Macaca fascicularis: one gene and its partners. The protein of the gene in region 1 interacts with the protein of each later gene in a biochemical or structural test. Links are inferred from orthologs where the notes say so. Each region holds a gene or a part of one and is shown on either strand. Other genes may lie near its edges. The genes, in order: UBR5, PCK1 and PAIP2.

Region 1 (3,649 bases):
CCATATTTAACTGAGCAATCAGCTCTTCTGCCTCATTTACTTAGGAATTAAATCAACTTTCTTCATATCAGACTTAACAATTCCAAAGCTGAAAACTCTAAGTCTAGTGATAGTCATAGGGAAAAAAGACACAAAGATATGATTAATACAGGAAAATGTAAAAATAACTTACCTGGTTAATGTGCTCTGCTCCAGTCCATGTAAAACTGCAAGTGTCATTACAACATAAGACATATAAAGGAGAGTCATCAGGGTTGGTACCTGATGGGCAAACCATTCCCATGAATACATCTTCCTCTTTTTCACTTGAGGATACTTCAGCTAAAAAAGCAAGAACACATCAGTTCATCTTGCAGCAAAGGACTTAATTAGCCATCCAATGTCTTCAAATGGAAGGCCTTAGCATACACACAGTATAAACCAGAAATTATATATCAATTTTAAAAAGTGATATACAAAGATGACATGCAAAGAAATCTAACCAACTCTGGAACAATGTAAAGCATAATTATATCATACCCACATACGACGCCCATAAACACACTATACATCAGCCATCTGAATCCTTAGCTCTGTTTCAGGCGGTTAAGACTCAAGTCCCAGCTCTATTTAGCAAATTATAGACCATCTCATAAACTATCAGTATTTTAAAAAGATAACTATTTTAATCTTTCAAAGGCTGGAAGGTAAGAATTGATATTCCTTAATGCTTTCTATTTAGTAGGAATTCTAAGTCAGAAATAACAAGACATCTGTCTATTATTCTGTAAAGTTATATCACTTAACACCAATTAACTACCAAGAGGTTCTATGAGTAACCCATCTTATTTTCCAAAGATTTTACACTGTTCATTATGGAGTATTTTTAAATCAATAAATTTATATTAGTTGTATTTTGATGGAAAGTTGGAAGATACAGTACACTTCAAGAAAGAATGATAACACATGAATTTCACACACACACACAAATCTTGATCGTTTCCAACCAATTGTATCATTTACATATATGGAAATTCAGTCTGAATAATTATAATATGTGTACAGAAGAGAATCTATCCAAACTGAAAAATATGTAACTCACTTAGGATCTGAAATAAATTACCTTTTGCAATTTTCTGAGCAGTTTCCAAGATGGTAATTGCAGCAGGATAAGCTCGGCCACTTACAGCTGACATAAATGGGGTCATCCCTCTTGCATCCCTAAAATAAGAAAAATTATATGTAAAAATATTAATTACTACTTATTTTCCTTCCTGATAAAATAAATGTTCATGATAAAACAAAAACCTAAATTTTTAGTCTTTCACATACAAATATACAACTCCAACAAGCTAAACATAAAAGCCAGTTTGTATTCATTTAGTGTACACTACATGATATTGAGACGGTCTCTTTCACTCAACAGAGCTTAGTAGTAGAGGGAGTATCATGCTGGATTCTGATCAATTGTTTTAAATTTACACAACTGTTGTCCATATAGTGTCAGAAGATAAACTTTAATAGTAAAAGCTAAGCTAAGCTAAATCTTCATATGAAAAATATATCAAAACCTCTTACTTGGCAGAAAGAAGTTCTCGTAGATAGGGCTGGAGAACCACACTGTCACATAACAATTTTAATATAAAATGAGCATTCGCCTTTCGATCCTTGGATTCTACTACAGATGGCTCTGTGGAAGGACCTGTAATTAAGCAGATCCATTTGGTACAAAACAAGAATGAAGAAGACACAGTAAAAGAATATTCTGGGCTACTCTGCCTATGGGGTACATAAGCACATAGATAATAGGGCACACTGCCTATGGGGTAGCTAGCCCTGCTCTGCAAGGAGCAGTTACAATTTTTTTTTTTAAGAATATCCTGGAATAATATATCAGGCATATAAGCCACCAGAACAGTATTCTAGTATCAGTAATAAATTAACTTCATCACAAAGAATTTAAACCTATGAACATTTTACAAATCTCATCTGATTTCTAAATGTATGTACACAGACACCACATATTTGCACTGACAGATGGAAGGTAATTCAGAGAATTAGATGTTTTTCAAGCAAAGAAAAGTCTCTGTGAAATAAAGTGTAGATCTGTAGAACCCTATATCCAAACTGTGTCCTTTTTTCTTCCAGATGACTAGGCAGACAAAGAGTACAGATTCTTACCTGGAATAGTGGAGGTGCTTGGTCCTTGACCAGTACCGGTCGCTGCTGTGGTAAGAGATCCCACAGCGGGGGCCAGGATAAAATCAATGTCACCATCTTTCAGTAAACAGAACAGTAGGATGTATATCATTATAGGCAACATATTCCTAACATGTTCTCTTAACTGGCCTTAAGGCTTTTCTCTGCAAGCCAAAGGTCAAACAGGATAGAGTTTAAGTGGAAACTTCTTTTCCAAACTATAAGAGAAGGAATCCACTAGGCAAATCTATTGACTTATCTTGATAAATTACTAATAAAGGGATTATTGAGCTTCTTACCGGTACAGAAATAAATATTTCAGTAAAAGTGGAACACCTGACAAGAGTTCTGGAATTTTAATTTTTAAAATATAAATACCTTAAATCTAATTTTTATAGCTAAACTAGTTATAATATTCATCATACTACTTTCAAATCTCTCAAATTTCTACATATCCCTTTAAAATGTTAAAATTATTTCCTTTCATGACCTGCTCTTTTTGTTAAACACTAAATGAAATTAAATAACAGCTCTTACCAGGATCCATCGCAGGAGGGTCAGGAACCCAACTAGGGGGAGCTATGGGGGGTGAAACTGGATCCTGGTGGTCACTGGATGAAGCTCCAGCTTCATGTCTACCCAAACCAGCTGCTCTCAACGAACGTCTCATCATTTCCCGTAATCTCAAACTAAAAGAACATGAACAAAATCAGAGCTCACTACCATATCTACACATAATGAAATGGTGTACAGAACTTCTCATCTGAGAAGATGAAAGTATGTCCTACAAGCAAGCACTCCAGGCAAGGGAAGTGAAGTACAAATGCCAATTCTGGAATCACAGAATAAGTCAGTGAGGGATAGAAATAAAACTGGGGGCTCCTAGTACACCGTTCAGCACTAAAGTCACTATCTTAAGCTCCCACACAAACTTAAGCACAGGGAACGAAAGCTGCGGTGAAGTAAGATTAGAAATAATCTTTCATACAGTTCAGATAAAAGAACAGCTAAACATTAAAACGAAAAGTTTCTATCCCCCATTTATAATCAGTAATAATTAAGTTTAATAGTAGACATCAGCAATCATACTGATTAGCACAAAACCAATACTGTTCAACACTAAATCCCTTTTATAATCTCAAAAGCAACTGAACTAATATCCACGCAATGAGTAGTTTTAAAACAAACACCAATTTAGATTTTTACACACAAAAAAAGAATTTTTAACAGTATAACTTGCATCCCAAAGAAATGAATGAATGAAACTAGAGTTTATAAAATGTGTTGTTAGATTAATGTGTGGGCATGATTTTTTTTCCTCCTGCTATAAAAAAAAAAAATACTGTACAGGTGTACACATCACTAAAAAGAAAAAGAAATAATCACAAACACAGAACTCGTTAGGGGAAGTGGGAACTACCTGTATGAAAATCTATACTTTACCTTTGAATAAAACCTTACAACGGCTACA
Region 2 (4,121 bases), on another chromosome or scaffold:
AAGCCCAGTCCTGGGGTTATCTCCGGGATCATCCCACATCCCAGCGGGAAGATGGGCCAAGTCCCCACCTGACCTCATCTTAGGCAGAGAGGCTCCACGGAAGTGTGGGCTGGCTGTGGGGAGTTGAGGCCTAGCCCTGCTCTTTTGACGTTTCACCCCGTGTTCTCCAAACTCCAGCAAGCAGCTTCCGTAGTTCATTAAATTGGACTGAAAGTCTGATGGCTTGCAAAGCAAATTCTTTAAAACTGTTATAAAGGTTTCATTGCTTAAGCATATAATCTAGCAAAACTGCCATGCCACCTCCACTCCCTAAACTCTAAGACTTGCCAGGGAAGTGAACAGTGTCTAGTGGACTGCAGGAGTAACTGCACTCAGCCCAGAACTCCCTGGAGGACACAGGGAAGGTTCTGGAAAGTTGATGGTACCTCACAGGGAGGGACATGGTGCTCCAGGCCCCAACTTCCTCGTGTTCAGATACTCACTCTGCCACCCACCAGCCAGCTGGGAGTAGCTACACAGTCTCTGCCTCAGTTTCCCTATCTGTATATGGGTTGTTCATAGTCTCCACCTCAGAGGGTAGTAATAATGCCAAGCTCTTAGAACAGTGCTCAGTATGTGTGCATTCTGTGCCTACTCTATGCCAAGCACTATAGATAGAAAAATGAACAAAATAGGGAGAAATCCCTGCCCTCATGGAGTTTACATCTGGGGCGGTTGGGGGCACACAGCAGACAATCAATAGAGTGATTAGCCCCCAGTTAGGTTAGGTATTTCCAATCTTTGCCTATAAGCCACATATTTGCCCAAGTTAGGTTGCATTCTTCCCATGCACTTTGACTGTGAACTTTGACTGTGGGATGACATCTTATAGCTGTGGTGTTTTGCCAACCAGCAGCTCTTGGCACACAAAATGTGCTGCCAGCAGCCCTTGAAGTCCGGTAGGTGACCTGGGCAGCCTTGTCCCCGACCCCACCTGCCTGTTAAGAAAAGAGTGTTGTGTTTTGCATCAGCAGTAAAATGGGTCAAGGTTTAGTCAATTGGAAGTTGTGTCAAAACTCACTACGGTTGGTTGAGGGCCCGAAGTCTCCCAGCATTCATTAACAACTATTGTTCAATGATTATCTCCCTGGGGCGTGTTGCAGTGAGTTGGCTCAAAGCATAACTGACCCTGGCCATGATCCAGAGACCTGCCCCCTGATGTCAGTGGCGAGCCTCCCTGGGTGCAGCCAAGGGGCAGGACTATTCTTTTCCACGGTATTTAAAGCTGAGAGGTTCTGCCACGGAACACGGCCTTCCCACTGGGAACACAAACTCGCCAGCAGGAAGAACCCGGAAAGAAACCTTGGATCTCCCTTCGAGATCGTCCAAAGAGAAGAAAGGTAAGTAGAGCTTTGCATTTACATTTCGAAAAATTACAAAGATGAACTCACTTTTTTCCTGAGAGTAATAACTATTTGGCAATGCACGGTCCCAGCTAAAGGCCGTCGAATGTGTTTGAAGATGTCTGTTATTGTTTTTGTTCAGGACGCTTGCGTTTTCTATTTCAGGTGACCTCACATTCGTGCCCCTTAGCAGCACTCTGCAGAAATGCCTCCTCGACTGCAAAACGGCCTGAACCTCTCGGCCAAAGTCGTCCAGGGAACCCTGGACAGCCTGCCCAAGGCAGTGAGGGAGTTTCTTGAGAACAGTGCTGAGCTGTGTCAGCCTGATCACATCCACATCTGCGACGGCTCCGAGGAGGAGAACGCGCGGCTTCTGGGCCAGATGGAAGAGGAGGGCATCCTCAGGCGGCTGAAGAAGTATGACAACTGGTAAGCTCGGCCCCCACTGCCTGCCCCAGGCCCCTGCAGGCAGGGCTCCCCTGCGTCTCCTGGAAGTTGGTGGAGAAAGGTGAATGAAGGCCTCTCGGGAGTTTCAGACTCTTGAGAAGTTGAATGCAATGGTCAGAACAATACAGATTTGAGTTTTGTGACATTAGTGGGCTAGCCCAAGCTTTAAATGAGGTGGTGTGCACAAAAGCTCTGCCAACTAGATTCTTGATAAAAACGAAAGACAGCCCCTCTCCTACAGACTAGCTCCTAGTTGAGTAAACGCCCACCTGGCCATGTCTTAGATGGTCTGTGTGTTCACACGGATGGACTGTTGTTAGCATGCTCAGTGCTCTGCTAGGCATGGAAAGCCACGGTATTGAAGGAGATGGTTCGCTGCCCATGGTGCTTGGCTGAAAGGAAGCCTGTGATTTTTACAGCTGGTTGGCTCTCACTGACCCCAGGGATGTGGCCAGGATTGAAAGCAAGACAGTTATCGTCACCCAAGAGCAAAGAGACACAGTGCCCATCCCCAAAACAGGCCTCAGCCAGCTCGGTCGCTGGATGTCAGAGGAGGATTTTGAGAAAGCGTTCAATGCCAGGTTCCCAGGGTGCATGAAAGGTGAGCGGAATATTGATTTGATTGGGAAAAATAGCAGAGAACCTTTTCTTATTACATCTATCCTAATGGTAATTCAAAGTGTAATGGAAGCTCCCACCACCTCAGACATCTTTCAGTTCCATACATGAAGTTGGCAACGTATCGAAAATGCACATCCCTCTTCTGCTTTTACAGACTGTCTTATACAAATGTGGAAACTATTTCCATGCATGTGGGTTTTAAATAGGTTGGTGGGACCTGGTTGCACATTTATGAAAACTCTTTAATTTCAGCAGGCTCTTCACTCTCCAGTGGCCTCCCCTAACCTAGGGGGGCTGGTGGCCAGCAGGGTGTGGTGGTGTTAGTGGAAGACTGTGAAAATGGGTCTACCTGGGAAAACAATGCTGGTTGTGTTCAAAATCCAAGGTCATTTCTCACCAGTGCCTACCCATCGCACCCTGTAGGTCGCACCATGTACGTCATCCCATTCAGCATGGGGCCGCTGGGCTCGCCTCTGTCGAAGATCGGCATCGAGCTGACGGATTCGCCCTACGTGGTGGCCAGCATGCGGATCATGACGCGGATGGGCACGCCCGTCCTGGAAGCACTGGGAGATGGGGAGTTTGTCAAATGCCTCCATTCTGTGGGATGCCCTCTGCCTTTACAAAGTAAGTGTATTATTTCAGAATCAAAAGTCAAAATAAAAAAAGAAAGCTGAACAACAAACCCCAGCGGGTGCCTCGGGGACCCCCAAACAGAGCCCTGGCTCACTGACGTGGGAGGGGTCCTTGTTCACAGAGCCTTTGGTCAACAACTGGCCCTGCAACCCGGAGCTGACGCTCATCGCCCACCTGCCTGACCGCAGAGAGATCATCTCCTTTGGCAGTGGGTACGGCGGGAACTCGCTGCTCGGGAAGAAGTGCTTTGCTCTCAGGATAGCCAGTCGGCTGGCCAAGGAGGAAGGGTGGCTGGCAGAGCACATGCTGGTGAGTCTGCAGGAAGCCCTGACGTGCAGATGAGAGGCCCGGGGGGTGGCAGAAACAAACAGCATTACAGTTCCCATCCAGCAAGACCCAGTACACCTTTCCGAGCATGCAGGTTCCCAGACAGATTGGGAAACCCCACCAGTAATGATTAGTGCACACGTATACGTCACTTTTGAAGGGCCCCAAACACCAGGGGACCATCGAGATCCTTTGGACTTCATGATTCTGGGAATGTTTGTTTGCACTGATACCTGAAGAAATAGATCTTGAGGGCCTACATTCCAACCTCTGGGCTGAAGTACCAACCTCGGGGAGAAGGGAACAAAGATCACAATAAAGAATCTTGTCCCCGGTGGGCGCGGTGGCTCACGCCTGTAATCCCAGCACTTTGGGAGGGCGAGACGGGCGGATCACGAGGTCAGGAGATCGAGACCATCCTGGCTAACATGGTGAAACCCCGTCTCTACTAAAAAATACAAAAAAACTAGCTGGGCGAGGTGGCGGGCACCTGTAGTCCCAGCTACTCGGGAGGCTGAAGAAGGAGAATGGCGTGAACCTGGGAGGCGGAGCTTGCAGTGAGCTGAGATCTGGCCACTGCACTCCAGCCTGGGCAACAGAGCCAGACTCTGTCTCAAAAAAAAAAAAAAAAAAAAAAAAGAATCTTGTCCCCAACAGATCCTGGGTATAACTAACCCCGAGGGTGAGAAGAAGTACCTGGCAGCTGCA
Region 3 (3,649 bases), on another chromosome or scaffold:
ACTTAATGAATTGGAATATTTTAGAATGTGAAACCTTGTGCTTCAAATATTTAGCCTGCAATGTATCAATTAGGTTAGATCATGTTATCAGCTATTGAGTAGTATAAGACATCAGGCTTATATTTGATACAACTTATACTCAGATGAAAAGATACTGGACTGGGCTGGGCGCGATGGCTCATGCATGTAATCCCAGCACTTTGGGAGGCCGAGACAGGTGGATCATTTGAGGTCTTGAGTTCAAGACTAGCCTGGCCAACATGGTGAAACCCAGTCTCTACAAAAATACAAAAGTTAGCTGGGTGATAATGGCACACGCCTCTAATCCCAGCTACTCTGGAGGCTGAGGCAGGAGAATTGCTTGAGCCTGGGAGGCGGAGGTTGCTGCACTCCAGTCTAGGTGACACAATGAGACCCTGTCTCAAAAAAAAAAAAAAAGATACTAGATGCCTGAAACTCACTGTACAGTGAGGAAATCCAGACATGGCAGAACTTGACATGGACCTAGAGAAAAAGCAGACACAGAATGGGCTATGAAGGAGAGATCAGAACTATACCTGAAGAACCTGAGAGGTTATTAAAAATCTGTTAGTTTTAGGCCAGGCATGGTGGCTCACGTGTGTAATCCCAGCACTTTGGGAGGCCAAGGCGGGCAGATCACGAGGTCAGGAGATCGAGACCATCCTGGCTAACACAGTGAAAACCCGTCTCTACTAAAACAGTACAAAAAATTAGCCGGGCCTGGTGGCAGACGCCTGTAGTCCCAGCTACTCGGGAGGCTGAGGCAGGAGAATGGCGTGAACCTGGGAGGCAGAGCTTGCAGTGAGCCAAGATCACACCACTGCACTCCAGCCTGGGCGACAGAGCAAGACTCTGTCTCAAAAAAAAAATCTGTTTTCACTTTCAATCCCTGGACTTTTTGAAGTCAGTTTTTAAAAATTGAATTTGCTCTTCATCATTTAATCACTTGATGACTTGATGCCTCAGTCTTCCAGACTGTGTTTGGCGGCGGCGGCGGTGGTGGTGGTGGTTGTTCGAGGTGGAGTTTCACTCTGTTGCCTGGGCTGGAGTGCAGTGGTGCGATCTCGGCTCACTGCAACCTCCACCTCCTGGGTTCAAGTGATTCTCCCACCTCAGCCTCCTGAGTAGCTGGGACTATAGGCATGTGCCACCATGCCCAGCTAATTTTTTCATTTTTAGTTGTTTTTTTTTTTTTTTTTTGAGATGGAGTTTCACTCTTTTTGCCCAGGCTGGAGTGCAATGGCTTGATCTCGGCTCACCACAACGTCTGCCTCCCAGGTTCAAGCGATTCTCCTGCCTCAGCCTCCCGAGTAGCTGGGATTACAGGCATGCACCACCACCCCAGCTAATTTTGTAGTTTTAGTAGAGACGGGGATTCCCCGTGTTGGTCAAGCTGGTCTTGAACTCCCGACCTCAGGTGATCCACCCGCCTCGGCCTCCCAAAGTGCTGTTTTATATTTTTAGTAGAGACAGGGTTTCACCATGTTAGGCTGGTCTCAAACTCCTGACCTTAAATGATTCACCTGCCCAGGCCTCCCAAAGTGTCGGAATTATAGACATGAGCCACTGTGCCCGGCCGACCATGCTTGCTTTATAAAGCAAGTGATATGTAATATAAAATATAAATTGGATGGTTTGGAGAGTCCCATGTAAGCAACTGATGTACTTCATTTACTGTTATCAGAAAACATTAGCTGTGGCCAGGCACGGTGGTGCACACCTGTAATCCCAGCACTTTGGGAGGCCAAGGCAGGCAGATCATCTGAGGTCAGGAGTTCAAGACCAGCCTGGCCAACATGGTGAAACTCTGTCTCTACTAAAGATACAAAAAATTAGCTGGGCATGGTAGCACGTGCCTGTAATCCCAGCTACTTGGGAGGCTGAGGTGGGAGAATTGCTTAAACCTGGGCAGTTGAGGTGGCAATGAACCAAGATCATGCCAGTGCATTCCAGCCTTGGTGACAGAGTGAAACTCCATCTCAAAAAAAAAAAAAAACAACAAAAAGGAAAACATTAGATGTTTTAGCTATCCTCTCCTATTAAAACATTAAAATCATTTGGAAAAAAAATATGAAGCTTTCCAATTGTGCAACTTACCGTGTATCATCTGCCTCTAACACCTATTCATGATGCCTGCTAATAAACAGATGCTCATTAAGAACTGAAAGAATCAGCTGGGCCCGGTGGCGCATGCATATAATCCCAGCACTTTGAGAGGTTGAGGTGGGGAGGATCACTTGAGCCCAGAAATTCGAGACCAGCCTGGGTAACACAGACCTTGTTTCTACAAAAAATAAAAAAAATTCAGCTGGGTGGTGTGGTGGTGCACACCTGTAGTCCCAGTTACTTGGGAGGCTGAGGCAAGAGATCAAGGCTGTGGTGAGCCATGATCACACCACTGCACTCCAGCCTGGATGGAGTGAAACCTTGTCTCAAAAAGAAAAAACCCTGAATAAGTAAGTAAATTAACTGTGTTGTTGTTCTTTTAAGGTTAAAAACGACAACCAACATCAGCCATGAAAGATCCAAGTCGCAGCAGTACTAGCCCAAGCATCATCAATGAAGATGTGATTATTAACGGTCATTCTCATGAAGATGACAATCCATTTGCAGAGTACATGTGGATGGAAAATGAAGAAGAATTCAACAGACAAGTTAGTTTTTTGTACAAACATGTTCTTTTTCATAGTCCATTCCGGCCCTCAATATGATTGTACTTGTCCGTGAAATGTGTTTATCTTGTCCTTTATGTATGAAGTATGTAGACTGATGTGCCACCACTCCTACTTATTTGGCTGCTGATTACTACCAGGCTTAACTGCTTATGGAAATAACCTGGGGAGCTTGTTTCAGGGTCCCACCCTAGAGATTCTGAATCAGGAGGATGAGGGTGGAGCCTGGAAAACTTTTTCAAAGCTCCCAGATGGTTCCAGTGAGCAATCAGATTTGGAAACCACTGCCTTACGCCTGTCAGATACACCAGTCAGATTGCTGTGAAAGTCAAGAGAATTTAGGAGTCAGGAGTAGACAGGCACAGAAAAAAGAGACAGGCATCTCTTTTTACTTCTTCCCTGCCACTCTCAATGGAAAAAAGAATGTTCTACTAATAAAAGTAAAAACAGAAAAACCCTAAACAGATCTTCGCAGGTCATTATGGTAAGCATTTTTTTCCTTAGCACAGAAGCAGAAAAGAAAGTGTGACCTTGTGCCTTTAAATGGTTTAGTTCAAGATATTTTAAGCCATTCCTGGTGATATCTACCAAGTGTGCTACAAATTATCTTTATTATAAATCTAGATAGAAGAGGAGTTATGGGAAGAAGAATTTATTGAACGCTGTTTCCAAGAAATGCTGGAAGAGGAAGAAGAGCATGAATGGTTTATTCCAGCTCGAGATCTCCCACAAACTATGGACCAAATCCAAGACCAGTTTAATGACCTTGTTATCAGTGATGGCTCTTCTCTGGAAGATCTTGTGGTAAAAACTTATTTTTCATCTTTTAAGACCTAGTGCAACTTTTGCATAAGTGGAAAAGCCAGTTCCCATCTATTTAAGAATTCTGCATCTTCTTCCCCTTCAGAAATTGTGCTGCTTCTGGCTGGGCGTGGTGACTCACGCCTGTAATCCCA

Evidence for each region.
Region 2: the proteins of UBR5 (region 1) and PCK1 form a complex in vitro, tested with the Homo sapiens proteins (2 studies listed by BioGRID, with this or other methods). The link is inferred for Macaca fascicularis from reciprocal best matches to the Homo sapiens genes UBR5 and PCK1.
Region 3: the proteins of UBR5 (region 1) and PAIP2 form a complex in vitro, tested with the Homo sapiens proteins (2 studies listed by BioGRID and IntAct, with this or other methods). The link is inferred for Macaca fascicularis from reciprocal best matches to the Homo sapiens genes UBR5 and PAIP2.

What each region holds. Positions count from the first base shown.
Region 1 is NC_088382.1:111,908,931-111,912,579, forward strand, and holds part of UBR5 (E3 ubiquitin-protein ligase UBR5), read right to left. Parts: intron 2,868-3,649; coding exon 2,716-2,867; intron 2,257-2,715; coding exon 2,161-2,256; intron 1,682-2,160; coding exon 1,558-1,681; intron 1,201-1,557; coding exon 1,103-1,200; intron 322-1,102; coding exon 173-321; intron 1-172. UniProt on the Homo sapiens protein: E3 ubiquitin-protein ligase involved in different protein quality control pathways in the cytoplasm and nucleus. Mainly acts as a ubiquitin chain elongator that extends pre-ubiquitinated substrates.
Region 2 is NC_088384.1:113,624,091-113,628,211, forward strand, and holds the start of PCK1 (phosphoenolpyruvate carboxykinase, cytosolic [GTP]), read left to right. Parts: upstream 1-1,286; 5' UTR 1,287-1,379; intron 1,380-1,547; 5' UTR 1,548-1,587; coding exon 1,588-1,811; intron 1,812-2,248; coding exon 2,249-2,430; intron 2,431-2,873; coding exon 2,874-3,077; intron 3,078-3,207; coding exon 3,208-3,395; intron 3,396-4,070; coding exon 4,071-4,121. UniProt on the Homo sapiens protein: Cytosolic phosphoenolpyruvate carboxykinase that catalyzes the reversible decarboxylation and phosphorylation of oxaloacetate (OAA) and acts as the rate-limiting enzyme in gluconeogenesis.
Region 3 is NC_088380.1:145,856,225-145,859,873, forward strand, and holds part of PAIP2 (polyadenylate-binding protein-interacting protein 2), read left to right. Parts: intron 1-2,511; 5' UTR 2,512-2,537; coding exon 2,538-2,675; intron 2,676-3,317; coding exon 3,318-3,497; exon of another isoform or gene 3,498-3,649. UniProt on the Homo sapiens protein: Acts as a repressor in the regulation of translation initiation of poly(A)-containing mRNAs. Its inhibitory activity on translation is mediated via its action on PABPC1.